Pelodiscus sinensis: one gene and its partner. The protein of the gene in region 2 interacts with the protein of the main gene of each other region in a pairwise test. Links are inferred from orthologs where the notes say so. Each region holds a gene or a part of one and is shown on either strand. Other genes may lie near its edges.

Region 1 (15,089 bases), on a different chromosome or scaffold from region 2:
GTCATCATCCAGAACAATATCCACAGAGCGAGGAAGCTGCCCAGCCGGGGCTTTCTCAGGCATCTCCTGGATGGTGATGGTTTGATGGTCCTTGTAGACCGAGAGGCCAAACTCTGTTTCCAGGGGATTGTTTTCTTCATCCTGGACAAGCGACACAGACTCCTCATTCACAGAAGCATGGCAGGGGACTCTCCAGGGCAGATGGGGTCACCAAAACAGGACAGCAAGAAGGAAGGCCGATGTAGCAATGAGACAGGACTATGCTGCAAGGGGCTTCGTTATTGAGGCTACTGGGCACAGACACCCTGTGGTTCACCCAGGCTCTCCAGCTCCCCGACTAACAGCTTGCACTACTTGGCACAAGCCCCTTCGGCCCACCCAAGCACTAGCATGGACTCAGTAGTCATAGAGAGGTCTGCTGGCTGTCCCAGACAAGCAGTCATGGATCACCTGTGCATGAGCAAGACTTTCTGGTGGGAAGAGCATTATGTGGTCGCTGGTAGCCAAATTATCCACTACGTTCTCCAGAGACCAAGTGATCACTCTGCCTAAGGGTACGTCTAGACTACATGCCTCTGTCGCCAGAGGCATGTAGATTAGGCTACCAGACATAGGAAAATGAAGCGGCGATTTAAATAATTGCCGCTTCATTTACATTTACATGGCTGCCGCGCTGAGCCGACAAACAGCTGATTAGCTGTTTGTCGGCTCAGCGCGGCAGCCATGTACATTTAAATGAACGGCGATTATTTAAATCGCCGCTTCATTTTCCTATGTCTGGTAGCCTAATCTACATGCCTCTGGCGACAGAGGCATGTAGTCTAGACGTACCCTAAGAGACCACTCGATCCAATCTAGTAGATGCTTCTGTCTGACCAGGAGCCTAGATTTGAACTCTAGCAAATTCAGCACAGACTGCAAAGCGATTCATAAGCAACCTCCTTTGTGCTATTGCCTTCAGGACTAACACGGTGTTAGCTGATGCTGCTGTCTGTTTCTTGGGAGGGCATTTGACTGGACACTAGAAGAGGCCCCAAATGCATCAGCACCTCTGCCGTAGCTAGGCCTATATATTACTGCTGCTTTAAACCAACATGCACAGTCCACAGATGAACTCATGTACAGTCCTGCACAAGTCACTTCCCTCCCCTGGCCTCTGGTGAATGTTTGACACTACCTCTGTTTGCTCACCTTAGTGGGGTAGACAGAGCTGGATGGAAAAGCATCAAGACTCGTCAGGTCCGTATATCGGCGTTCAATGGTCTTCTTGGTAGCAGGGCAGTAATGGACACTGCGGACGATCTTCGGACGTACCAGAGAGCCTGTGTTTAACATTTGTTTAGTGGGAGGAAAAAAAGTTAGAAGAAACCCTGTAGACATGACTCCAGCAATGAGGTTTCACTGGGAGACCATTCCACAACAGACAGGTCTCCGGACATGTTCCCTGACAGCAAACTTAAACTTCTTGGCTACCTTTCACTCCAGGACTCCTAGATATACCTTAGAAAAGTGATTCTCTAACAAAAAATTGTTTCCCGCCCCCTATTGCAGCACCTCTTCTCACTCTACCCTCTGTGGCTTCCTCTTCCCCAGCCTCACTCACTTTCACCAGGCTGGGATATGAGGTTGAGGTGTGGTAGGGGGAGGTGGAGGTGAGGGCTCTGGCTGTATGGGGTGAAGCGGGACAAGGGGTTTGGGGTGCAGAAGGGAACTCTGAATTCAGATGTAGGGTCCTGGAAATCCCTGTTCTTCTGGATTAGAAGAACCATTAGAGGAGTGAGGTTCTGAAACGGCCTTCCAAGGGAAGTAGTGGGGGCAAAAGATCTATCTGGCTTCAAGATTAAACTAGATGGGTTTATGAAGGGGATTGTTTGATGAGATAACATGATCTTGGTAACTAATTGACCATTCAGTATCATTGGGAAATAGGTCAATGGAGGGATGATAGGAATTACTAGAGAACTTTCTGGGTGTCTGGCTGATGAGTCTTGCCCACATGCTCAGGGTTTAGCTGATCGCCATATTTGGGGTCGGGAAGGAATTTTCCTCCAGGGTAGATTGGCAGAGGCCCTGGAGGTTTTTCGCCTTCCTCTGTAGCATGGGGCACAGATCACAGCTAGAGGATTTTCTGCATCTTGAGGTCTTCAAAGTATTTGAAGGCTTCAATATCTGAGATATAGGTGAGGGGATTATTCTGGGAGGGGTGGGTGAGATTCTGTAGCCTGCACTGTGCAGGGGGTCAGACTAGATGATCACAATGATCCCTTCTGACCTTAAAGTCTATGAGACTCTAATTTAAGCAGCACTACCCTGGATCATCCTAGCCATCCCTGACATTCTCACTGGTCTAGTATCTACAGGCAGTTATCAATCCCATATGGGCATTCATATGGCACATCTCAGCCCCCCCCTGCACTCACATTTTGTTACAATGCCCTCCACACAGACCATGCAGCCCAAAAGACAGGATGTCAGTGTCCGGGGAGTCACATGCTTGGAGCCAAAGCTGCCCTCCAGCCCGATGTAGAATTCCTCATATTGCTTAGCGTACGTGGCATCGATGGACGCGACAAAGTCCTTCAGGGCACGCTGAAAGGCAACCAGCTCCTCGAAGGCACTACTCAGGAGCCTAGAGCAAAAGGCAGCAGGACTCCAATCAGTTCAGCTGTCTTGCTAGCACATCCACAGCAGGAAGACCCTTTCTTTACAGAACGGCAATTCCTAGTGCCCTCACAGAACAGCGGCAGAGCTGTGCAAACACTGACAATTGTTTTCCCATCACCCATGTGAGGATTCATTTCAGTCAAGAAGTGAATGCACTATGGACATCAAGTCCCTAACCAGGATCGATACTCTACTGCAAGTATATGGGATTTAGGAACCAAACTGAATATATCACTTTTGAAAGTCTCATTAGGTGCCTATCTGTAGGTGCTGAAATATTTGAGTAAGACTAGTCTTGAACTTCATTAAGATTCCTAAATTACTGGGTGCTTTTAAAATGTTCCAACCCCCATATGGGCTTTCTGCAAACATCGCAGCAAACAGGTTTTCTTAGCACAAATGCACACAGGCTAGAATGCTACACAGGGTCGCAGCTGGTCCTTGAATCTGGGGAGAAGGCAAGTCCCAGGTTTAGAATTGCATACGGATTGAATGCCCTCTAAAATAGGAGACTGGACCTTGCTTGCCAGATTCCAGTTTGCAGATGTGATGTTCTCAGCAGATAAGATGGAGTCTCATGCCAACCAAAATGCACAAAAGGGAGTTTGCATTGACTTAATCTGGCCCACGAGGCTTGGGGCTTGCTCTCCCTCAGCAGCACAAGCCAGCACTGGCACTCCAGCCATGAGGCAGGGGGGAAGCACATGGCTTATGCCTTGTGGGCCCAATCAAAGCAAGACATAGGCTGGATTGGGCCCCATGGACTTTCCAAGGCAGGGTGAGAGGTACCCCATATCCACTGCCCCCTCCTGTATCCCCTGCTCAGTCCTCATGTCTGCACGCTCCTTCCTTCCCTTCCAGACCCTGCACCTCACCTCCAGCCTCCTCCTGTACCCTCCCTCCCAGACCATGCATCCTCACCATGCTTCTGCCACCTCCCTCCTGCCCTGACCCCATACAGTCTAACCCATTCCTGAACCCTCCCTCCCTGACTCCACAACCATACTCCTAGCCCTCTCCCCGACTGCCCCCTCTCACACACTGGACCCCTCATTTTTGGCCCCACTCCAGAGAGTATCTCTGGGCCCCCAGAAGAGTTAATCCAGCACTGTGGTGTAACCCCTGAGCCTCAGAGCCTCCCCTATCTCCAGGACTGGAGCTTGAGGGAAAGGTCTTCTTTTCCTTCTTCTCACTGGGGACCAGGTCAGTGAGGACTGTGGAGGGTTTATTTTTTTGCTTCTCACTTGGTTAGCCCCCAACTGATTTTTTCTCTGTGGGTCAGTGGCCACCAACCTAAAAAAAAAGATTCCCCACGCCTGAGCTACATCATGATAAATGCTACCTGTGCTTCATCTCCTATAATTTTGCATCAAGATGGCTAATGCATGATAGTTATCTTGCTGTAACAAAAACAACAACAAACAATAATAAAACAAAAAGCACACACTTTTCTGGTTGTGAAGATATTACCTTAGCACAGGTCTACACAAGAAACTTTTACAAGTGTGTTAGTATTTCTTTTTTGGGGGAAGGGTCAGCACCATTTCAACACTGACAAAAGCCCTGCTGTAGATGCTGCAATACCAGCATAAGCATTTTGGCTGGTACATCTTATTTTGCTCAGAGTCCCTCTAAAAGGTATAGCAGCAAAAGTGCTTAGGGTACCTGTGTAATCTACATTTCCTTTAGTAGGATTTGCTGGTGTTAGTACACTGGACAAACCTTTTCTACTACAGAGCTTTAGAGAGAAAGTAATAGTTTAACCCATTGACCTGCCTGCAAAGTTTGCCAACATGGAAACAACAACTGTACAGGCTCTCCTCTCATACTACTCACTACATGCTGTGCAGGAGCCAAGTTGGAAGAAACACTCTTGTCGAGTTCCTTCACAGGTTACTCTTACCGGTTGGCTCTCTTCTCGTTCTTCCTCCTCAGCTCATTGATGCTAACAATCAGACGATACTGATTATCGTGGATCATATCCCGGACTTTGCTCTGGTAAACTCCCTGGTCCTCCTGCAGCATGCCATGAGAGAAAGGTTCCCTTTTACAAAGTTAAGCTGGCGAGATGCAGCCCATTTGATTTGTCTTTAGTGGCTCAGGAAATCCCCCCCCACCCCCTTCCTGTTATTCATGCTGGATATCTTTGTTGCAAGGAAAGGCCAGATAGAGGAATGCAGTGTCAACACCTTCACTTTGAGTTGGAAATGCAGTTCCCACCTCGAAGAAACATAGGATCTAAGTTATGCAGCTTCAGTTATGCAATTACCATAGGTGAGGTCAGCATATTTAGATCTACTTACTGCAGCATGCTTGACGCAGTGCACTGACAGGCAGTGCTCTCCCATCAACTCCCCTTGCACTTATCATTGAGGTGAAGTACCAGAGTCAACGGGAGAGTGATCTGTGGTCAATTTATCGTGACTTTAATAGACTTGATAAATCAACACCAACTGGATTGATCACTGAGCCAATGGTGAAGACAAGCCCTTATTCTCACCATCTCTGATTGAGACGGCTCACTAAATATAGAGCATAACCAATAGTGTAACCAAACCAGCAGGAGGGACTAACCATCAAAATTATGTACTTATATGCATGTGATCTCAGACATTTGCTGACACAGCATCCTTCTATGTTTGGTATGCTAGCTCCATCAGAGCAAGCACAAGAATTTATCCTCTACCTGTGCGGTGTTTTAGATGCTGCTTGTAATTATTAGAACTGGGAGCACTGGCTGTTGGGAATCTGGAAGCACAGGAAAGAGGAAGGAGGGGGGAGGAGATGGGCCAGGCCTGAGTGAGAGCTACAGAGGGGAGCAGCAGCAGCTTTGTAAAGAGGTTTCACCTTTGTTAAATAAAAGGCCTGTTGAAGTTTGTTACTATCTTGCTTGCATGATACAACAACTTGGGGATCACCCCCCCCCCAGCTTTCAGTACAGACTGCGTTCCTTTTTAGTACCCTATGCCTTCTTGCAGATAGTCAGTTACAACTCAAGCTGCGAAAGAGAAAGACACTCCCCACATTCCCCTTGCACACCAGAGCCAAAGGGGGGGGAGGGCAGGCTAGTAGATTCTGTGCGCCCCAGCCCCACAAGTGCGGTGGCAGTGCCAGCATGGGCTCCCCAACTGGCCGTGCACAAGATGGGGGGGGGGGGTGTGCAGGGCAAAGCGTTAAAACGAGATTTTTAAACCTCCCCCCCCCCCCGCGCCTGAGCGGAGCTACGGGACTGGCCGTGCACAAGATGGGGGGGTGCAGGGCAGCAGCCCCACCTTGCAAGGACCGCCCCCCCCCCGGGAATGGGCGTGGTTTGCAAGGGGGGGCGGGGATCTCCTCCCCCCCAGAGGCCAAACTTGGACACGGGGAGGGGGGAGCCCCCCCCGGGCTGGGGAGGGAGACAGGAAACCCAGCAACAGCCCCCCCCCCCCACGCCTGGGTCCTCTCCATACCGCCCCCCCCCGGCCCGGAGCTCGCCCAGTCTCACCTCGTCGTCCAGGAAATCGAGGTAGTCGCGCTGCGCCTCCCGCAGCTCCGCGTCCTCCAGCCCCGCCGCCGCGGGGGCCGCCATGGTGCCTGCGCTGGGGAGCGGGGCCGGCGCCGTGGAGCAAAGGCTGGACTCAGGGGCGCCCGCGCTGCCGCTGGCTCCGCCCCTGGCGCCAAAACCGGCCGCGTTTTCCCGCCACCGCAGGGGTCACCAAGGCTCCGTCTCCCATTGGCCAGCCTCTGACTGAGCCGGGAAGCGGCCGGCCAATACCAGAGAGCGGGAGAAGAGGCCACAGCTTCAGCCAATCAGGGGGAGAGGCTGAGAACGTTCGGTCCTTCACGCTGTAGTCCGCCCTCGAGCATGCTGGGATGTGTAGTTTCTACTAGACGCTGTGGGGGCCAAGGGAGCATTGCATGCTGGGAGGTGCATGCCTGCCAGAGGCATGCTGGGCCATGTAGTCCATCACGGGTGCATGTTTTAGGGTCAGTTCTGAGCCATAGCAAGTCAGGCATTTAGGCCTAGTCTCTGCTACATCGGAAGGTCGAAGTAAGATACACAACTCCAGCTATGTCTCTTACATCGCATTTCTGTGCTCTGCACACAGAGGGAAGCCAATGGGAGGAGCAGGAGTACCTGAGCCAACCCGGTTGCCCTTCCAGTTCGATCTAGAGGATGAACCCACTAAATCGAACCCCCAAAAATCTACCATGGCAGTGTCTTCCACATAGTGTAGACATGCCCTTGCAGTGTTAATATCACTGTATTACGTAGCCATGAGCGAGCCTTCCCAAACCTATGAGATTAGTAATAATAATAAATGAGGAGAGGTTGTGCTATGTGCTTTCTGGTTGTTCAGCCCTTACGATAGAAATAGGGAGGTGTTAGTCTGATCTTGTTAAAACAAAAGGGAAAACTATGTAACACTAACAAGATTGGTTAATAGGTGATGAGCTTTCCTGGGCCAGACCCACTTCCTTAACTCATATTCTGGAAGAGAATTGGCATGACCATATATACCAAAAGAATACAATGAAAAAAGTGAACACATTATTAAACTGACAAATCAGATTTAGTACAGAAGGTGGGGCCAGGGAGAGGAAGGGAGGGGATAGCTATATATGAGTCAATGAATGGCTAATTAGGGGTGATAAGTGGAGAAACTTTGTAATGGGTAAGATAATTAGCATCTTAAGGCCCATTCGTAAAGTGTCAAATTTAAGCATGAATGAAAGTTCTGAAGTTTCCCTCTGTAATCTGGTGTTAAAGTCTCTTTGAAGTAAGATGCATGTAGTAAGGTCGTTAAGACTATGTCCGATAAGTTGAAATGAAAACCAACTGGTTTTTCCTTGTGAAGATGTCTGATGTCTGATTTGTAGGCATTAATTCTGTGGTGAAGTGTCTGAGAAGTCTGTCCAATATACATAGCAGAAGGACACTGTTGGCACATGATGGAATAAATTATATTTCTGGACGAACAGGATGAACTGGGATCACATTTTAATGCTTTTCTGCAGCTCACCCCACTTCCTCTACACTAGAAACTTATGAGTAATTAAAATGGAAAGAACTTTAAAAACTAATGGTCCTGTAGCACCTTAGCAACAAGCAAAAATATATATATAATATCATGAGCTTTCGTGGGCACAATCCACAGATCTCCAAATGGCTGTCTTGTTACAGACCAATTTTACACAGAGAAGGGTTGGAATTACAATTCATCTACAAATTAATTCTCACACCTATGGCCTCAATCAAGATAATGGATGGCTGGGACATTATCAATCAAACAAACAATGAAGGTGCCAACAGCTCTTTATCTGGGTAGATTTTTGTAGTAGTACTTTTCCTCTCTTAATTGCTATCCTATGATCCTTATCTTCTTCTTTTTACTATTCAATTTTTAGGAGCTTACTGATTACCAGTTTTGCCTTTCTGGTTTTCCCTTTGGCCATGTCCAGACTCAGGGGTTTTTTCGGGAAAAGTAGCCTTTTCCCGAAAAAACTTCCCCTGCGTCCAGACTCAAGCTGCGTTCTTTCGAAATTATTTCGAAAGAACGCGGCTTTTCTTTCGATGGTGGTAAACCTCGTTTCACGAGGAAGAACGCCTTCTTTCGAAAGTTCCTCTTTCGAAAGAAGGCGTTCTACAATGTAAAGAGGCCGTCTTCGAAAGAGAGCATCCAGACTCGCTGGGTGCTCTCTTTCGAAAAAGTGGATTTCCTCTATTGAAAGATCCGCCTGCAGTCTAGATGCGATCTTTCGAAAGAGGCTCTTTCGAAAGATGCTTTTGAAAGAGCCTCTTTCGAAAGAAGCCTGCAGTCTAGACATAGCCTTTGATATTTACAAACCCTCTGCTTCTTGTATCCTTCTCCCCTATTTATTATTTTGGGTCTGGACATCCTAAACTCAATTCTCTGGTAATCTGAAGAAGTGGGCTGTGCCCACAAAACCTCGTATTCAATTAATGGAGATTGTCTATCTCCTAGAGCTGGAAGGGACCTTGAAAGATCAAGTTCAATCACCTGTTTTCACAACAGGAGCAAGTACCATCCCTAACAAATTTTTGTCCTAAATGGCCTCTGCAAGGATTGAACTCACAATCCTGGGCTTAGCAAGCCAATGCCCAAACCACTGAGCTATCCCTCCCCCACGGCTACATGTTTTGTTAGTCTATTAAGTGCTACCAGACTATGTGTTGTTTTTTAAGTTTATCCAATACAGATGAACTTGGCTACTCCCTGAAGCAGTGAGAAGAGGATTATGACCTATGTAAAATGCTACATCAAAATCTTTAGTCATTCCAATTCAGTCCCACTAGGGGGAAGCAGATTCCAATGGAACACAGTTAACTGTTCTGTGTGTGCACAAACGAGACTAGATAATCAGTAAGTGCCCTATTTCCTCTTTACAGGGTTAGGTCTCAGGCTCAGCTCCACCTATATATCTGAAATCTGCTAAATAGCTGTTGTTATTGAATTAGGATGATATATTGAATGTTCAAATATAATCACCCTACCCCTCTAATCCTTTCCCTGGTTCCACAACTGAAACAGTACAGTTCTGCCCCTTCCTTGCTTCTCATTTTTCGGGTCCCACTCTTTTCTCCTCTCCTCTTGGAATAAACTTGGTTGGGGTCAATACAGCTTCACTAGTGTAAAATTGCTGACTGGAGAATTAGGCCTCCCCAAGTCCTGCAGTTCCACCAATTCTGCTGCCCTTCACGGCCATTTTGCTACTTCCTGTGCTGGCCCCTACACTAATAGCCTTCCTCATCCAGTATTCTCAGCAGCCTCTTGGTCCTTCAAATCTATCTCTTTTCGCAATCTCTCTTAGAATGAGCTAAATTCTCCTTTTAGCTGTAGTGACTTAATTGGGACAATGAAACTGAAAGGGTGGATTTGTGCCCACGGTTTCACACCTCCAAACTAACCTTTGGCATTCTAGGCAAATGTAAATATAAATTCTAGGCTAATGTAACATAATCCTTGCAATGCAAGCGAGTGCATAATCATATTGCATGCATCCTGCCTCTCCCTCTGCTATGTCTCCCTCCAGCATTTCATCTTGTGTATTACCTAGGCTGGAAGATGTTTGGAGCAGTGACTTTGGACCTGATTATCCACTGAGCAGGTGTAAAATGCTACCCAGTCAGGATGGTAACTCACTGCAGACATGCAGGATGGTGGAGAATGATGTCCCATTGACCAGATTCTGGTCCCTGCTCTGGCTGCTTCATGTGTTTCTGATGGCGCGAAGCAGTCAGAAAGCATCCCTAATGAAGCTGGAGATTCCCCTCAGATAAGAGAATCTCTGGGTGGCATAAACTAGACTAGTTGACTCTATACAGACAAGGAAGTATGTTGGAGCCATAAAGAAGTATGGCCAAAGCACAATGCATTCCCAGGTTCCTAGACTAGCAGAATAAGCGCAGAAGGCCAGATGTTCCAGCTGGTGCCAGTTACAGCATCTTTGAGGGTGAGGATGATCTAACCTACGCTTGGGGTCAAATTAGCTCTTGGTAGCCTCCAAAATCAGAGGGGATGGAAAGGTGTAGAAAGCCATCTATGTCTCCTATAGGGGTGCATCAATCATGGCTCAGAGTCACCTGCAGATTTGGCCTCATCTCTTTATTTTCTCTGAAAAGCACCATGCACACTTAGGCTACGTCTACACTGGCATGATTTTCCGAAAATGCTTTTAACGGAAAAGTTTTCCGTTAAAAGCATTTTCGGAAAAGCACGTCTAGATTGGCAAGATGCTTTTCCGCAAAAGCACTTTTTGCGGAAAAGCGTCCGTGGCCAATCTAGACGCAGTTTTCCACAAAAAAGCCCCGATCGCCATTTTCGCGATCCAGGTTTTTTTGCGGAAAACAGTACTGTGCTGTTTACACTGGCCCTCTTGCACAAATGATTTGCGCAAGAGGGCTTTTGCCCTAATGGGAGCAGCACAGTATTTCCCCAAGAACACTGACAATCTTACATGAGATCATCAGTGTTCTTGCGGAAATTCAAGTGGCCAGTGTAGACAGCTGGCAAGTTTTTCCGCAAAATCATTTGATTTTGCGGAAAAACTTGCCAGCCTAGACACAGCCTTAAGGTACATCTACACTACAGAGGAAGATCGAAGCTGCCTCTGTCAATCTTCCAGGGTTCACATTAGTGGGTCTAGTTAATTCAGCTCATTCGAACTGAGAGGGGCACTCCGGTCAATGCCAGTACCCCTGCTTTCACGAGGAGCAAGGGAAGTCGAAGGGAGAGAGTGTGCTCCCTTCAACTTCCTGCAGTGTGGACAGCACCAAAAGCCGAGTTAAGCTACTTCTACTTCAGCTACGCAATTAACATAGCTGAAGTTGTGTATCTTAATTCGACTTTGTCCCGTAGTGTAGATGTACCCTTATAGTCCCATGAAGCCATGGTGAAGAAAAGCAGCAGAAGAAGAAAGGTTATGGACTTACTCTTGGAGTTCTGCTGTCGATGGGAATGAGGATAGGATCAAGCCTTATATTTGTAGAGTTGAAAAATAAAAGCTTGTTGGGCTTGGCACAGGATGGAAACATCCAGGAATATGCTGGCTAATGTGTGTGCAGACAACAGCCCCCGTTACTGGAATGAACCAATGTGTGTGCAGTAAACACAGGGGACAGGCTTAGGCTAGAATGGAGTAGGAGCAGACAAGCCAATCATACACCTGCAGTTGGGCTTACAGGTTCAGCCATCATAACAGAGGGCATGGGGAGTTGCTTAGAAATGTTATCCAGACATTACATTAAATATCAGTTCTAGGGCAGCTTTCCTCTCTTGGTAATGCACGGTTTATATTCTCCACTCTCTGTGATAGACAGCGTGGAACAGGGGTTCTCAGGACAAAACTTTTGGTGGCCTCAAAGTGAAGCCACCAACTCTTTCTGCTGGCCACTCTCACACTTTTTCCTAAGCTTCAGGGAGTAGCCAAATTAGCCTGTACAGGATAAACTTACAAAACAACAAATGGTTTGGTAGCACTTTATAGACTAACAAAACTTGGGGATGGTATCATGAGCTTTTGTGGGCACAGCCCTCTTCTTCAGATGACCGGAGTTTGGAGTTTAGGATGTCTAGACCCAAAATAAATAGGGGAGAAGGGAGAGAGGGGAAGGGGGAAAAAAGGAAGGTGGCAGGAAACAAGGAGCAGAGGGTATCAAAATATCAAAGGGAAATACTAAAATACAGAAGACTGCCAATAATTTGGAACCTTTGTTACCTAGGTGGTGCCAGATTATTGGATATGCCGGACTATCAGGAGATACTATAAGATGATTATATATACACTGTATACAGTATATACTGTCTATAAAGTGTTTTTAACCCTTTTTATTGTACATGCTGTATACAGTATTCTGTAATGTTTTAGTTTTTTTAACCCTTTTTTACCCTTTTTGCTCGGTTCAGCTGCTGTCGCTGCTGCTTTGTGACTCGTTGTTTGCCGAAGCTCATTCACTAGGCTCTTGCCATTTTGATGACGGACTATCAGGAGTGCCGTACAATTGGATGCCGAACTATTGGAGTTTTGCTGTACTTAGTTAGCTTCAGGAAAAGCAAATAAATAAGCACATATGTACGTCCAAATCATTGTAATTTATTTATTGCTAGCTAGTAAGTCTGCTGTGAAAAGTGATATTAACAAACACACAAGTAGCACTTTTCCAAGCAGATATAATCAGCCCTACCAAGCTTGGGCACAAATTAAGCCCTGCAGGCAGCCTGGGACTACTGCTGTGTAGTCAAAGTTTAGGGATGGAGCCCAAAGTCCTGCCCCTCTCTGGACTGAAGCCCAAATCGTGATCCCCACCACTGCTGGGAAGGTAGGGAACTAATTTACTGCCTGCCTGCTCCTACAGCGTTGTGCCTCAGTTGTCTCCAGAGGCGGGCAGCACTCAAACCCTACTGACAGCCCTGCAACCACCACGAGCACCAGGGTGGGGGAACAGGGCCATCCCTACCGATGCTGGTGCCATATGCAGCCCAACACCAGCACTTCCCCAATGGCCACTCTGCACAGGGAAGGGGGATGAAGCTGAAAGGGGTTGCCAGTTTTCCCGATCTAGATGCCATTTACTGCAATGGTGTCTAGTTTGTGCAGTCTTGGAGAACTGGCAGCAGCAGAGCAGGGCTGAGAGGGAGGCACAGGCCGGAGGACCAGCAGGCAGTCACATAGCCAGCCAGAGAGAAGCAGTACTTTTAAGGGGAAACTGCTCATTCTCTCCAGTTGCTCACTCTGTGGCTGCCCCCTGCTCCGTCTGTGTCCTCTGGCCCCGCAAGCACCACTTGCCACTGCTTGGTGAGCAGGTAGTGTTGCCAGATGGTTTAACAAAAAATACCGAACCGTCCCTCCCCTTCCCCCCAAAAAACACTGGAAAAAAATTCTGTTGAGAAAAAAAAGAGGGGGGGGAGGGTAGAGCAAACTTTTAGAATTAAAAAAAAGGGGGAGGTACTGCGCCTTTAAATGGCCCCGCAATCCTCCTCACTCCCCCCACCCCTGCCAGATGCGGCAGGGGAAAATTGTCCCCACCTGGCTTCTGTCTGAGGGAGACAGGAAATACCGAAATGTTCGGTATTTTCTGTTTTTTTTTACTAGACAGGGGACCCGAATAACGGACAGTCTGGGTGAAAACCGGACACCTGGCAACCCTATGAGCAGGGGCTGGGTACTGAGCCCTGAGAGGCTAGCCAGCTGGTGCTGAGCCAGGGGGAGCGGCTGGGGACGACCAGAGGTCCAGGACAGCCTGTGGGGGGAATGGAGGCTGCTGGAGCCCATAGGCAGCCCCCAGCTGCATAGGGCCCTGTGAAAGTTGGGGCAATTTGGTGCCCCAAAGTTCATGGTGCCCCACGTGGCCGTGTATTTTGCGTATGGGTAAGGAGGGCCCTGCAGGAGAGAGACTGCCACAGGCTTCTTTCCCTAAACACACACCCACACAGCCCAGGAGGCAGTGGCCACAAAAAAAGCCCCGAGTGGCCAGGGTGGCATTTGAGAAACACTGGCATAGTGTCCTAGCTCATGCGGTCACTGAAGGGAAGGATATTAGAAAAGATAGAAGCATTTGATGGAATAGAAAGAGATCCGACTGCTTGTTTGTTTCAGGAGAAGCCAGCTCTCAGTGCACCTGTGGATCTGATTCCAGAACAAGCCATGGACACCAGTAACTCACTGTAAATTGCCAGCAAGAAATGTATTTGTAACGTATGTCACCCAAGAGGTTATGAGCCTCGTTCTCCACGGCTTTGCATCTTATGTGTAGTTATTTACATCTGTGCAGAGTGTAACTGCTACCACCAGTGTGAGAGAGAGGAGGATACTGATTTGTTAGTGTAAATTCTGATTAAGCACCACTGCCCCTTTAGTGGGTTAACTCAGAACTGCACTATTGAGCATCATAGGCCCTATACTGCTGCTAGCTGAGGGAAAGTCTCCTCTGGCTTAAATGGCACAGTCCTATCTTTTTAGAGTAGTAGGACCTGAGATCTATCCTTGATGTTACATTAAAGGTTAAAGGTGGTGGTGTGAAGCAGCGTGAACTTATAATTTCCTTAGGCTGTCTACACAGCAGTGTTATTTCAGAATAACTGGCATTATAACGAAGAGCGCGTCTATGCTACAAGCCATTAATTTGAAATAATGGTGAGCTGGAGGACTTCTTACTCCAACTCCTGGTACCCCTCATCTTACGAGGAGTAAGGGAAGATGAAGGAAGACTGTTCTTCCTTCAACGTCTTGCTGCATACACAGCTCCAAAAGCTGAGTTAAGCTATTTCGACTTAAGCTACGCAATTGATGTAGCTCAAGTTGAGTAATTAATTCAATTTTAGCACTGCTGTGCAGACATACCCTTAGGCTACGTCTACATTGCAGGCTTCTTGTGCGAGAACTGTTTTGCGCAAGAGTTCTTGCACAAAATGTCTTCCACAAGATCATGTCCACACTGCCATGTGCTTTTGCGCAAGAGATGGGCTTTTGCACAAGAGCATCCATGGCAGTGTGGACGCTCTCTTGTGCAAGAAACCTCTGATGGCCATTTTAACCATAAGGGTTTCTTGTGCAAGAAATTCATGTTGCCTGTCTACACTGCCTTCTTGTGTAAGGGTACGTCTAAACTACATGCCTCCGTCAACGGAGGCATGTAGATTAGCCAGATCGGCAGAGGGAAATGAAGCCGCGATTAAAATAATCGCGGCTTCATTTCAATTTAAATGGCTGCCCCGCTCTGCCGATCAGCTGTTTGTCGGCAGATCGGGGCAGTCTGGACGCGACGCGCCGACAAAGAAGCCTTTCTTGATCGGCACAGGTATGCCTCGTGAAACCAGGTTTACCTGTGCCGATCAAGAAAGGCTTCTTTGTCGGCGCGTCGCGTCCAGACTGCCCCGATCTGCCGACAAACAGCTGATCGGCAGAGCGGGGCAGCCATTTAAATT
Region 2 (15,093 bases):
GGAGCAACTCCAAAATTAGAACCATTCTGAAAAGTTCCAAGATTAGTAGGTGGTTTAAAACTGAATCCTTGGTTTCCAACAATAGAAGAGTTAGGTGATGGAGAAGTAGTCACAAAAGAAGTAGGCTGTCTAAGACCATAAGCCTGTGTAAACCCAGAGGGTAGCCCAAATCCCACAGCTTGCCCTGAAGTGGCCTGGCTTAATCCTGAAGGCTGAGTAAAGCTGGATGGCTGGGCAAACCCAAGGTTCTGTACAGGTCCTCCACTGCTCTGTCCAAACAGTGATGGCTGACCAAATCGAAATGGTGTTTGAGCTTGAAATATTCCGACAGAACTATTAGAAGGTGCTTGGAAAACAGCAGGCTGCTGTCCACGAAAAGGACTGTTAGGGTTCATCTTCAAAAATAAAAATTAGCAAGTATCTTCCAACGAGAGTTCATGCCTCGAACATCCATTTACTTTCACCTTCCAGCCAGCCATTCTAGCAATCTGAAACACAAATGTGTACATTAAATTAAATTTTCTAATTGATTTCCATTTATAACAGGGAAGTTCAACCAAGCAAATTAACAACAGCTTTATCCTATATCTTTGCAACATCCTAATAACATTTTACTATGTTTAAAAAATATGCTTGCATCTTGTTCTCTCTCTTCTGTGGTTTCCAATCCAAGAAATGACTGTTATAGAATCAGAGCTGGAAGAGACCTCAGGAAGTCATCAAATCCAGCCCCGTGCCCAAGGCAGGCCCAATCCCAACTAAATCAACCCAGCCAGAGTTTTGTCAGGCCAAGACTTAAAAACCTCTAAGGATGGAGATTCCACCATCTCCCTAGTTAACCCATTCCAGTGCTTTACCACCCTCCCTAGGGAAATAGTTTTTCCTAATATCCAATCTAGACCTCTCCCCCTGTAACTTGAGACCACTGCTCCTTGTTCTGCCATCCATCACTACTGTAAACAGCCTTTCTCCATCCTCTTTGGAACTTCCCTTCAGGAAGTTGAAGGCTGCTATCAAATCTGTTGCATAAAAAAGCCTTCGCCTGAGCTTACTTGATTTAAATACATGGATTTTCTGAAACTACACCAAATTATAAGATCTAAGGTTTTAAACTGCAACTCATTGTGATCTTTGTCAAACTTTGTAATCTGTGTAACTCTCAGAAATTTACTGAAGGTGCAACTTTGTAATCTTTTTAACTCTCAGCCACCTTGCTTGTAACTTTCCCTAAAGTGCATTCTCCCCCCCTGGGTGAATGGAGAGAGAGTGTGAGTGTGTTTGAAGAAGACTGGGAACAATGGAGCACATTTCAATGAGTCATTGCAGTCTGGGCATGCTCTCTGCTGGATAAAGGGGAGTCTGGGCATGCTCCCTGATGGCAAGGTGAATGAGTCACAGGAGACATTCAGACACTATATAAAGAGACGGAGCACAATGGTCTCCCCTCCTGACCAGCTTCCCCAGCCATGATGATCAGACAAACCCTCCAGGATCCACATGCCTTGGCTCCTTCTGCAACCCATATGTCTGTGTAAGTATGTGAGTGCCTGAGGGCAGGAATGCATGGATGTGAATGAGTGAATGAATGGAGAGAGAGAGATCGATCTATCTTCTTTAGTTTAAATTTTTGGTGGCTGCTTTCTCCTCTTTAGTCTTACCTAGTGGAAATAAACCCATACTAGTGTAACCCTGGGTGGTCTCCAGTGAGAATATTTTTGGAATAACAAACCCCCCCCTCACTCTTCTCTTCTGCAGACTAAATAAACACAAATCCTTCAGTCTCTTTTGATAAGTCATGCGCTCCAACCCCTAATCATTTTGGTCCCCTGCCGCTGTCTCCCCTCCAATGTGTCCACATCCTTTCTATAGTGGGGGGGCCAGAACTGGACACAATGTTCAAGATGTGGCCTCACCAGAGCCAAATAAAGGGGAATAATCACTTCTCTGGATCTGCTGGCAATGCTCCTCCTAATGCATCCCAATATGCCATTAGCCTTCTTGGCTACAAGGGCACACTGTTGACTGTCATCCAGCTTCGCAGCCACTGTAATCCCCAGGTCCTTTTCTGCAGAACTGCTACTGAGCCAGTCAGTCCCCAGTCTCTAACAATGCTTTGGATTCTTCCGTCCCAAGTGCAGGACTCTATACTTGTCCTTGTTGAACCTCACCAGATTTCTTTTGGCCCAATCTTCCAATCTGTCCAGGTCACTCTGGACCCTATCCCTGCCCTCTGGCGTATCTAGCTCTCCCCCTATCTTAGTGTCATCTGCAAATTTGCTGAGGGCGCAATCCATCCCCTCATCCAGGTCATTAATAAAAATGTTGAACAAAACCAGTCCAAGAACAGATTCTTGGGGTACTCTGCTAGAAACCAATCACCAACCTGACATCGACCCATTGATCACTACCCGTTGGGTCTGACAGTCTAGCCAGCTTTCTATCCATCTTAGTCCATTTATCCAATCCATATTCCCTTAACTCGCTGGCAAGAAAATTGTGGGAGATTGTATCAAAAGCTCTACTAATTTCAAGGTATATCACATCACTGACTTTCCCGTATCTACAGAGCCAGTTACCTCTCCATAGAAGCTAAGCAGATTTTTCAGGCATGACTTACCCTTGGTGAATCCATGTTGACTATTCCTGATCACTTTCCTCTCTTTCAAGTGCCTCAAAATGGATTCCTTGAGGATTCCCCCCCATGATTTTTCCAGGGACTGAGGTAAGGCTGAATGGTCTGTAGTTCCCTCGATTGTCCTTCTTCCCTTTTTTAAAAATAGGCACTACATTTGCCTTTTTCCAGTAATCAGGGATCTCCCCCAATCTTCACAAGTTTTCAAAGATAATGGCCAAAGGCTCCGCAATGACACTTGCCAGCTCCCTCAGTACCCTCAGATGCATTAAATCCGGACCCATGGATTTGTGTATGTTTAGCTTTTCTAAATAGTTCCTAACTTGTTCTCTCCCTACCAAGGACTGCCCACCCTCCTTCCCATACTGCGTTGCCTAGTACATTTGTCTGGGAGCTGACCTTGTCCATGAAGACAGTGGCAAAGAAAGCATTGAGTACTTCAGCTTTTCCCACATCATCTGTCACTAGGTTACCTCCCTTATCCAGTAAGGGCCCCACACCCTCTCTGATCACTCTGTTATTGGTAACATGTCTGTAGAAATTTTTCTTGTTATCCTTCACATCCCTTGCTAGCTGCAATTCCAATTGCGCTTCGCCTTCCTGATAACTCCCCTACATTCTCGAGCAATATATTTATACTCCTCCCTAGTCATCTGTCCAAGTTTCTACTTCTTGTGAGCTTCCTTTTTGTGTTTAAGCTCACCAAGGATGTCCCCGGTAAGCCAATCTGATCGCCTAACATATTTGCTTTTCTTGCTGCACATCGGGATGGTTTCTTCCTGTACCTTTAATAAGGTTTCTTTAAAATACTGCCAGCTCTCCTGGACTCCTTTCCCTTTCATTTAAGCATCCAAGGTTATCCTGTTGTTGGATTTGTGGTGGTCTCTACTGTACAGGTAAGAGTACATTTCCTTGCGCTCCCTTCAGGCCTTAAACACTATTACTCTAACTTTCTCCTTCATCCCATGATTAATTATTTTTCTTAACAGTCCTGTGAAGGACTTTTTAAAAGTTCTAATGTACCAATTTTTTACTCATTATTTTGCTGATAACCTCAAACAATTTGAATATACTGAGGAAAGAGAACTTCCCTTTACAGAAGGCATACCATTTCATCCCTTCTATATCATATTCATAGGCCCATTAAAATTATCTGTAATTATTGTTCAACTATTTAACCTAGAACCATAGTAGCATATACTAGGATTGCTTCTATTGCTCTTTTTAAAGATAAGTAGCTGAACGGGACAATGTAGACACACAGTAGTTGAATAGTATAATAGATTGCATTGCTTTGCTAGCAATTCAGTTACTTTACTAACTTTCTTCAAAACTCCTGGATGTACCATACAGTCTTTATGACTTGATGCTATTTAATCAGTTTGTTCCAAACCTTATTCTTTTGACAACTAAGTCTCTGACAATGCCTTGTTCTTTATTATCTGAAAAGTGTAGGTCAGGATAGCTAGCTCCCTAACACCCTCTGTTGTGAATACTAAAATTATTTAGCTTCTCTGCAGTATCCTTTAGGGATGTTAAATTTAGATTAATAGGTTAATCGAATAGTCAATGCAATTTGCATCAACTATTTGATTAGTCTATAAGGGAGCCTTGCCTCTGAAGTGCTGGAGCTACACCTCAAAGACGAAAGCGATGCAGGGAGCTCTGGGCCAGCGGCGGACTGCTTAAGTTTCAAAGTGGCAGCGCAGCATAGAGCTCCATACAGCATTTTAAAGGAGCAACACCCAGCCACTTCCCCTCCCCCAGCCCTTTGCTGCCTCTTTCTGATAGAGGCAAAGGGGGGGGGGGGAGGGTGGCTAGTCGACTAGTATGGACTATCAATAAGCTTTTGCTTATCAGATAGTCGACTAGTCTTTCACATCCCTAATGTCTTTCAGTCCCTGGTAGTCTAGTGCACCATTAATTTCTTTAGAGGATTCCTAGTTCTGATAGACCAGAAAGCTCATACCACCACATGTTTTGTTAGTCAGTGCTACCAGATTATTTGTTGTTTCTTAAGTTTATCCTGAACAATTGTTTGTTTTGCTCATTTTCCAACTGCTTCTCTAAATCCCTCAGCCTTCTTAAACCATAAAGTAGGAATTACCTACTATACATGTGACCGTGACAATGAAGGCCTGGATCCTGCACCTGCAGGCACTTTCATCAATGAAAAGGTTCTGAGTGGGTATAAAAGTATACCCTCTCTCCAAGTTACAAACGAGTTATGGACCAAACACTTCGCCGTAACAATCCGTTTGTAACTCAGACCCCACTGAGTTACACGTGACTGCACTGTTCGTAAGCGTGGGTCACATTTGTAAGTCGGGGACTGCCTTTACGACCGCTCCATGGGAGCTTTGGTCATAAGTGCAAACGCGCAACTCGGGGAGCGGCTGTATGCCCATACAGATCAGATGCATGGTAAGGCCCTAATTTGTTAACATCAACGCTAAGGATATTTTTTCACTTTTAACTTTAAAGGCTTTATGACTAGCTGCCTTTAAAAAAAAAAAAATCTACTGCAGTGTTTTAGGTACTACCCTTTCCCTGAAAATGTTATGATTAATTTTACTGCATTTACTGATACTTAACTGCTTAGCTACTTTTTAAACCATTTACTGTATGCTATTTTCAAGAGACTGCTGCACAGGAAAAAGGAAATTAAGGCAGAGCCTAAGTTTTCCCAGAATAATATACCGTAACTACTCACTCCAAGAAGCAGCCAGGCTACAGTTGGGCCACAACCAATACCCTTATTCTGAAACTCATGTTTCCATGTGGAACAGAGATAGTCCCAAAAGGGGGGCACACCTGAACTTGGGGGGCTTAAAATAATTTTCCATAAATTCCTGCTGATTGAATATACTACAGAAGCCATAATTCAAAGCACAAAGGAACACCTGTAGTCCTGACCGCATAGCCTAACCTACACTTTCATTTCCGTGCATCCCACCCAATTTTAATGGGAACAGCTGTTCAGAAACAGAAGGTAAATGTAAGAATGTGAGGCTACGTCTACACTGGCATGATTTTCTGGAAATGCTTTTAACGGAAAAGTTTTCTGTTAAAAGCATTTTCGGAAAAGCGCGTCTAGATTGGCAGGACGCTTTTCCGCAAAAGCACTTTTTGCGGAAAAGTGTCCGTGGCCAATCTAAACACGCTTTTCCGCAAAAAAGCCCCAGTCGCCATTTTCGCAATCGGGGCTTTTTTGCGGAAAACAAATCTCTGCTGTCTACACTGGCCCTTTTGCGCAAAAGTTTTTCGAAAAAAGACTTGTGCCCGAATGGGAGCAGCCTAGTATTTCCACAAAAGCACTGACAATCTTACATGAGATCGGCAGTGCTTTTGCAGAAATTCAAGCGGCAGTGTAGACAGCTGGCAAGTTTTTCCGCAAAAGCAGATGATTTTGCGGAAAAACTTGCCAGTCTAGACACAGCCTGAAGGTTTAACCAGTTAACTGGCGGAGGCTGGAGCAGCTCCCCACCAACCACTGGCAGAGGCTGTTGCAGCCCTCTGGTGCAATGGTACTCAGCCTTTTTTGGTCTGCGATCCCCTGCGCTGCTGGGGCCGCCAACTGCCAGGTCCAGCCCCTGGCCAGCCGGATCTAATTGCCATGCTGCATGGCTGCACCCAGCCGGCCAGATCTAAGCGCTGCACAGCGCAGCTCCCAAAGGCCGGGTCCAGCCCCCGGCCAGCAGCATCAAAGTGCCACGACCTCCTGGGAAGACATCCGCCACCCTCTCATGGCTTGCACACCATTACTCTGGGGCACAAGTCAGACAGGGGCTGTTCTGGCATGGTTGGAGCAGCCCTTACTTGTGGCAGGGGCGGGGAGATGTTCCAGCCAGGCTGTACCAGCCCCCTGCTCATCCATTGTAATCAGTTAACCAGTTAAACAACAGGTTTAGCAGGTTAGCCAATTAACCAGAATTGTACATTTCTAATATAAAGTGAACCAAGAATAGTGGTAACACACAAGGGGGCCAAGTGTGAGCCCGGGGCAAGGAGAAGGACTGGGAGAATCAGGAATAAGGGCCGCAGGGCAGTGCTCGGGGGCAGGGTTGGGGAATGGGGGGGGCAGGAAACAGGTTCTGAGGGAGGTGCTCGGAGGCAGGGGGCAAAGGGAGTGCTCAGGGGTAGGGGTCTGGGAACAGGAGTGACAGGTGCTAGGGGGCAGAGAACAGGAGTGGGAGGGGAGATGGGGGGTGCCCGGGGAACAGGAGTGGGAGGGGAACAGGAGAGGGGGAGCAGGGGCAGGAGACAGAAGAGGGAAATGCAGGGGTGTCCAGGGGCAGGAAAGGGGAGCAGGGGGGGTGCCCGGGGGCAGCGAACAGGAGAGGGGGGGCCAGGGGGCGTCTGGGGGGGCAGGGGTTGAGAGGGGCCGGGGGGCAAGGGCCGCAGGGCGTTGCCCGGGAAACGGGCGAGCTCCGGGCTCGGTACCAGTGGGCCAGGCCCCGCCCCCGCTCTCACCGGTCCAGGTCACGAGCGGAGCCGCCATCGCGCTCGCGGGGAGAAACCGTCCTCTCCTTCCGCGCGCGCGCACCCGATGGGCGGGGCGGTCTCAGCCGTTTCCGGTCTGTGCCGCTCGGGAGGCACCGCCCGCCGGAAGCTCCGCCCTGCGCGCGCTCCCAGGCGCGTCCGTCCCTTTCCGGTCACAGCGCGCGGGGCGAGCGGCAGCGGCACGAGCGTCCAGCCCGCCATGTAGCGCTTTGTAACGGCCCCCGGCTCCTCCGCGGCCGAGAGCTGCCGCCCGGACAGACGGGCCCCGGCCTCACGCGGCCCGCGCACGTGCTTGCAGCGGGTAGGGGAGGCGCCGCCGCCGCCGCGCGCCAGAGGGTGTTTCAGGCTCCAGCGTTAACATCGAGCGTCCTTGCGGAGCTCGCCCCGGGAGGCCCGACAGCTGCCTGCGCGCGCTACCGGCTGTAACGACCGTCAGTGGGCGCACGCGGGGCGGGGCTCCTCGCGCTGTCGGGATCCCGGCTTGCAGTGGTGCCAGGGGGTTGAACGCTTCAGCGGACTGGCGCTAGGGTGTACAAGTTCCTTACCTTACCGTGCCGCTGCTCTCCGTCATGTGTGTATCTACGTTTGCCCGGACCGTCAAGCAACAGTAGTGTCTGGTATCTGCTACTGGATTGTTAGTTACGATCAGTGCCTAATATTTCACATTAAGTGGCAGGGCCCCCTCAAACCACCTTTTGAATAGCTTCCAGTAAAATGAGTTTAATCATTCGCAATCTGCAGAAAATCATACCCCTCAGGCGCATCCCACTTCGCAGAAGTATAGAAACCCTTCAGAAGATTTTGAATGTGCAACAGTTTGATCTGGCTGTTATCTGTGTCAACAATAAAAACATTCAACTACTCAACAGCACCTACAGCCAAAAAAATGTTCCCACTGATGTGCTATCCTTTCCCTTTTATGAGGTAAATTTTCCCCCTTTCTTTCTGCAGCTACTTGCTTGGTTTGCATAATACAAGTGACTTCTTTGCATGCTCTTCTATAATGCACCATAACTCTTATTAAATCCAGATGCAGTTTAATATATTTCACTATCATGGCCTTGTGTGGTGATATATGAGGATACAGTGGTGCTTCAGAGTATCCTAGATGTTTTGGGAAATTCATAATGAGCTGGGATGTGTTTTAGGGCTTTCAGAGAGTTTTTTATGTTCTTTCTTGCATGGCCTCATAAAAGGCATGAAAACAAAGCCATGACTTAGTTTATACATACTCGTGCCTGTTGTCCAGTTCAGAAATTGTACTTCCATAAGGCAGCTAGTATCACTCCTGGGAACCTGAGAGTGACAGCAGCGGAAGGGTAGTTTGATAGTTCTCATCATTCTTTCTAAAGCACCTGACATTGACCTCTATTGGCAGCATACTTGGTTAGATGGATCATTGGTCTGACCACGCTGGTGGTTCTTATGTTCCTGCTTTTTTTGTCTTTTTTTTAATTTTTGTAGTTATATTTAAGTACAGGCAGTCCCCGAGTTACGTGGATCCGACTTATGTTGGATCCGCAGTTACGAACGGGGCTTTTCTCACCCCAGAGAATGGGAGCGGCGGGATGCCCAGATGAGCCGCGGTCCCGCTGCCCGCGTCCTCCGGGGCGAGAAAAGCTGCTCCCCATCTCCCTGGTCTGCTGGTCAGACCAGGGAGACGGGGAGCAAAGCCTCGGAGGACGTCCGCAGCACGCCTGGGCTGTCCCGCTGCGGGCGTCCTCCGTGGCTTTGCTCCGCGTCTCCCTGGTCTGCTGTGGGGGGGGGGCTGGGGCGCAGCTAGTGCCCTCTCCCCCCTAGCAGACCAGGCTTTTCTCCCACGACGCCTGGGATAGAGCAGCTGGGGCGCTGCTGGGTTGGTCCCGCAGCGCCGCTCCTCGGCGCTACTGGACCAACCTGGCAGCACCCCAGCTGCTCTGCCCCAGGTGTCCTGATTCAGCCACTGCTGGTCAGTTTCAGTAGCGGCTGAATCAGGACGCAGGGGGCAGAGCAGCTGGGGTGCTGCTGGGTTGCTCCAGTAGCGCCGAGGAGAGGCGCTACTGGAGCAACCCAGCAGCACCCCAGCTGCTCTGCCCCAGGCTTTCCCCAAGTCAGCCGCTGCTGAAACTGACCAGTGGCTGACTACAGGAAGCCCGAAGCAGAGTTGCTCTGCCCCCGGCTTCTTGGAATCAGCCGCTGATCAGTTTCAGCAGCAGCTGACTTGGGGACGCCTGGGGTTCTTAAGTTGAATCTGTATGCAAGTCAGAACTGGCATTCAGATTCAGCCGCTGTTGAAACTGATCAGTTTCAGCAGCGGCTGAATCTGGACGCCAGTTCCAACTTACATACAGATTCAACTTAAGAACAAACCTGCAGTCCCTATCTTGTACGTAACTCGGGGACTGCCTGTATATCAAAGTAATGAGTAGGTAACTGGTTGGTGGTAACTCAGTTTCTTTCTGTCTCTCTCTTATGGAAGACTTCTAGAAAGAAAAAGGTCTAGGCTACCATTCAGCTAGTGTCAGGTAATAGGTATAGGAAAAGAAGGCTTTGGAAATATAACTTTTACAACCAATGTCCACATTTAAAGTTCACTTATGGCTCCCCTTTCATTTCTGCTGACAAGACAGCCATATAATTGCACACCGTGTTTCCTAGTAGTGGAAAAAAAGATTTTCTAAGTAATCAATAATTAGCTAAAGAATTCTCCTTTTTTGCTACATTTAGTTACAGTTTTTAGTACTTGTGCTGTTTTGGTGATGTAAAGGTGATTTTTTTGTTTGTAGCAAAATTTGGCCTCTGATGGTGTTTTTACTCAGCCTGTGAAAGGTAGTATTTCAGTCAGATTTAACAGACATGGGTTAGCAGAGCCTGTGCTAACACTCTTAAGTCTATGTCTACACTCGCAGCTTCTTGCGCAAGTACGGCCGTTCTTGCGCAAGAATCTGCAGAGCATCCACAGTGCCTGCTGCCTCTTGCGCAAGTAAATTTACAGTACGGCGTGGTAAGAGGGGGCTCCTTGAGCAAGAGCTATGCTCTTTTTTGACAGGTGTAAGCCGTCTTGCGCAGGAGCTCTTGCGCTAGAGGGCAGTGTGGACGCTTAACAGGGATTTCTTGCGCAAGGAAGCCCTATGGCTAAAATGGCCATCAGAGCTTTCTTACGCAAGAAAGCGTCCACACTGCCATGGGTGCTCTTGTGCAAAAGCACAGCTCGCACATGGCAGTGTGGACGTTTTCTTGAGCAAGAGTTCTTGCACAAGAAGCCGTGAGTGTAGACATAGCCTAAAGGTGGTGCTTTGAAGTTGTGGTTTATGTGGAGGCTCTGAAACCTAGGAAAGTGGGACACATTCAAATTCCCATCCAAGCAACAGTTTCCAAGCACAGTGGACACGGAATTTCCATCTCACAATTTTGTATTTTCACACTTAAATACATTTTGCTTAAGAAGTTCTGTGCCCATCTGTCATGTTACTGGATTTTAAGGGAAGCAGCTAGATAACTGCTGCCCCCTGGAGAGGTGTTTGCCCCAAAAGTCTATACAAAGGGGGCCATGTGAGATGTTACATGAAAGCTTGTGTTCTACTGATCCTGTGTATGCTATTCAGGTACTTGTATAATATCTGTATGTGGAGTTATAAACATGTACTCTGCAAGGAAATCTCAGCCTATGGCTATGCTAATTAGCAAGGAGACAATGAATCTCTAGGTGCAAATACACATCTCAGGAATGTGACTGATACCTAAGGGCTACCAGCATGGAACACAGGGATAGGCCACGGACGAGGTGACCTGCTGCAGCCAAGAAGATGCCAGGAGAGGGTTATAAGTGCCATGTGGCACCCTCCATCTTGGTCTTCAGCTCAGCTCTCGACCCACGAGGCAGCCTTGCAGGGAACCACAAGCCAGAAAGAACTGTGAACTCATCCTTACTAGGATGTACACCAAAGACTTTTAAGCCAGCAGTTATAACATCTCTGCTGTGAGCAGGGCTCGACAAATCATGTAATCTACTTGCCCGTGGCGAGTAGATTACAAGACGGCATAGCCGACGCCACGCGATCTGCGCATGCGCAGCTTGCAGAACTGTGCAGCTGGTGAGCAGGGCTCTCCACCGCTTGGCGAGCCCTGGCTATGAGCCTGTATCGAGAACTGGGTGATTCGTTGCATGTAATGTATTATCCTTTAACAACCTTACTCTCATGCTTTTCTTTCTTTTAATAATAATATTTTAGATTCTAAAGGGTTGACTCAGCATGATTTTGTGGGTAAGATCCAGAGTATAAATTGATCTGGGAACTGTGGCTGGTTTCTTGGGACTGGAGAACCCATTCGGGGAAGGTGAGATTGGGTCCTATAACCCCTCACCTGTGTGTTAGGCCAAGCGCTGTTTGGGGCACGGAGAGAGCTGGGGTGTCAGAGGGGTTTTGCTCATGAGCTGAAGTGCTCTGTGGGACTGGTTTGTGTTCTCTTTGGGAAGGACCTCCAGTCAGGGGTTGTAAGGAGCCCCGAATTTGAGCAATTGGCCCTGAGCTGATGCCCTCACCTGTGCTCAGACCCAGCCCGGTCCGTCACAGTGGCGTAGTCGGCAGGATCCACAGATCTTGGTCAACTGAGCTTTGGATCAGGACCCCACGCTGTCTAAAGTGGATTTTTGGTGTTAAGAGTTTGGTTGGTTAAAGAGCAACTGCAATGAGTCAGCAACGGTATGAAAGTCTGAACAGAGAGGCTCTGAAGGATTTGTGCTCAGAGAGAGGCATTGACTTTAGGAAGAAAGCTACTAAGCAGCAGCTGACATCTTGCTACTGCAGAAGGACCAGCGGGCAATAGAGCGGCTCCCACCCAATGCCACGGATGCTGTTGCAGAAGAAATTAGAAAGCAGCAGGCATTGAAGAAAATGGAGCTGGAACATGAGAGGGCCCTGGCCGAGATACGTCGAAAGGAGAAGGAGGCATCAGCGGAAGAGGAGAGAGTGGCCCATGCATGGCGAATGGAAGAAAAAGAGGCAGACCACGCACGCGAAAGCAAGAGCTGGCGGCAGAGGAGAGTTACAAGCGACTCCGAATACTGGAAGAGCAACAAAAGATACTACAACCAGAAAGCTCACCCCCACTTTCGAACAAGAGTTGGGAAAGGATCTGTCCCATCTACAACAATAATGAGGATATTGAGGAGTTTTTGGCCATGTGAACCGGATCCCAGATGACCAGCTGTGACAGACCGGGCCGAGTCTGGGCACAGCTGAGGGCGTCTGCTCAGGGCGAATTGCTCAAATCCGGGGCTCCTTACAGCCCCCAGACTGGTGACCTCTCTGAACAGGCCATAAACCAGTCCCACAAAGAGCTTCAGCAGCCTGCCTGAAGCCTCACAAGCAAAACCCCTCTGACATCCCAGCAATATCCGTGCCTCAGATGGCCCCGGGCCTCATACACAGGTGGGGGGTCCTAGCACCCAATCCCATCTACTCCGAACAAGTTCTGTCCGGTCCCAAGAAACCAGCCACAGATCCCTGGCCAATTTACCCTTTGGACCTTACCCACAAATCACGCTGGGCCAATCCTTTAGCATCTAACAACTAAAGGTTTATTATCACAAGAAAGAAAAGCCTGAGAGAGAGGCTGTTAAAGGAATAATACATTACATGCACCGAATCTCCCAGTTCTCGATGCAGGCTGTAGCAGAGATGTTACCGCTTCTGGTTTAAAAGTTCTTGTTGCGCATCCTAGAATCAGGATGGGTCCACAGGTCCTTCGGGCTCTTCAATCCCTGCAATGCTGCCTCTGGGATGAAGTGCTGAGCTGAAGACAAAAAGGAATCCCCCACATGGCCTCTTTATACCTCCTTCCTGGCCTCTTCTTGTCTGCAGCTGGTTACCTGGCCCTCAGCCTCTCTCTCCTGGCAGCTCTTAGGTCTCCGCCCTCATGCTTTAGGTATGTCCTTGGCCCATCGAGTGCCATTGTCCAACAGGGCCTCGCTAATTAGCATGTCCATAGGCCAGGCTCTGCCCAATGCTCAACCACATTCAGAGAAATATTCAGCTTCCGCACAGATTACAGATTCCTACCTACACACACAGACATTATACACTCACATAAATAGCATACACAGGATCAGCAAACAGCTCCCACTCAACACCCCACAGGGCCCCCTTTTATATCATTTTTGGGGCCAGCATCCCCACCTATGGGTGCAGCCATGATCTGGCTGCTTCCCTCAAATTCCAGTAACGTGACACCAGCGCATGCCTGACCTGATGGTAAGACAGACTGGCAAGGTAAGGAGGTATTTAAATGATCTGGGAGAGGAGGAAGCATTAGACTATGGGCAGTTTAAAGACTATGCACTTAAACAGTTCAGGGTTACCTCTGAATCTCACCGGGTGAAATTTAGAAGCTTTAAAATGTTCAGTGAGTGTACATATGTGGAGTTTGCTCACAAGCTGATGGGCTTTGTTCAAAAGTGGGTCATGGGGGCAAAAGCAAATGGGAGTTATGAATTAAACATTCTGATAGGATGTCTGAGTCACCTGGGCCTGATGAAATGCATCCTACAATATTCAGGGAGCTGATAGAGGAGGTGTCTGAACCTTTAACTGTCATTTTTGGAAAATTATGGAAGACAGGATTGATTCCCAGAAGACTGGAAAAGGGCAAATATAGTGCCCATCTATAAAAGGGAAATAAGAACAACCCAGGAAACTACAGACCAGTCAGTTTAACTTCTGTGCCAGGAAAGATAATGGAGCAAGGAATTAAGGAAATCATCTGCAAACATCTGGAAGATAATAAGGTGATAGGGAACAGCCAGCATAGATTTGTAAAGAACAAATCATGTCAAACCAATCTGATAGCTTTCTTTGATAGGATAAGGAGTCTTGTGGATAAGGGAGAAGCGATGGATTTGGTATACTTAGACTTTAGTAAGGCATTTGATACGGTCTCGCATGATGTTCTTATCAATAAACTAGACAAATACAACTTAGATGGGGATACTATAAGGTGGGTGCATAACTGGTTGGATCACCATTCTCAGAGAGTAGTTATTAACAGTTCACAATCCTGCTGGAAAGGCATAACAAGTGGGGTTCTGCAGAGGTCTGTTTGGGACCAGTTCCATTTAATATTTTCATCAACCATTTAGATATCGGCATAGAGAGTACACTTAATAAGTTTGCAGATGATACCAAGCTGGGAGGGGTTGCAACTGCTTTGGAGGTTAGGGTCATAATTCAGAATGATCTGGCCAAATTGGAGAAATGGTCTGAGGTAAACAGGATGAAGTTTAATAAGGACAAATGCAAAGTGCTCCTCTTAGGAAGAAACAATCTGTTTCACACATAAAGGATGGGAAGTGACTGTCTAGGAAAGAATATGGCAGAAAGGGGTTATAGTGGACCACAAACTAAACATGAGTCAACAGTATGACCCTGTTGCAAAATAAGCAAACATAATTCTAGGATGCATTAACAGATGTGTTGTGAAGAAGACACAAAGAGTCATTCCTCCGCTCTCCTCTGCGCTGATTAGGCCTCAGTTGGAGTATTGTGACCAGTTCTAGGCACTGCATTTCAAGGAAGATGTGGAGAAATCGGAGAAGTTCCAGAGAAGAGCAACGAGAATGATTAAAGGTCTAGAGAACATGACGTATGAAGGAAGACTGAAAGAATTGGGCTTGTTTAGTTTGGAAGAGAGAAGATTGAGAGGGGACATGATAGCGGTTTTCTGGTATCTAAAAGGTTGTCACAAGGAGGAGGAAGAAAAATTGTTCTTCCTGGCTTCTGAGGATAGAAAAAGAAGCAATGGGCTTAAGCTGCAGCAAGGAAGGTTTAGGTTGGACATTAAGAAAAAGTTCCTGTCAGGGTGGTTAAACACTGGAATAAATTGCTGCGGGAGGTTGTTGAATCTCCATCTCTGGAGATATTTAAGAGTAGGTTAGATAAATGTCTATCAGGGATGGTCTAAGACCAGTGTTTCTCAACTTT

The links.
Region 1: the proteins of MCM3AP (region 2) and MCM3 interact in a two-hybrid assay, tested with the Homo sapiens proteins (2 studies listed by BioGRID). The link is inferred for Pelodiscus sinensis from reciprocal best matches to the Homo sapiens genes MCM3AP and MCM3.

The regions. Positions count from the first base shown.
Region 1 is NC_134713.1:8,416,656-8,431,744, reverse strand, and holds the start of MCM3 (DNA replication licensing factor MCM3), read right to left. Parts: upstream 6,346-15,089; 5' UTR 6,233-6,345; coding exon 6,149-6,232; intron 4,681-6,148; coding exon 4,568-4,680; intron 2,630-4,567; coding exon 2,421-2,629; intron 1,323-2,420; coding exon 1,192-1,322; intron 142-1,191; coding exon 1-141. UniProt on the Homo sapiens protein: Acts as a component of the MCM2-7 complex (MCM complex) which is the replicative helicase essential for 'once per cell cycle' DNA replication initiation and elongation in eukaryotic cells.
Region 2 is NC_134717.1:65,901,651-65,916,743, reverse strand, and holds the start of MCM3AP (germinal-center associated nuclear protein), read right to left. Parts: upstream 7,258-15,093; 5' UTR 7,106-7,257; intron 2,771-7,105; exon of another isoform or gene 2,618-2,770; intron 489-2,617; 5' UTR 396-488; coding exon 1-395. Other genes in the region: endoribonuclease YbeY, read left to right, coding at 7,850-8,059.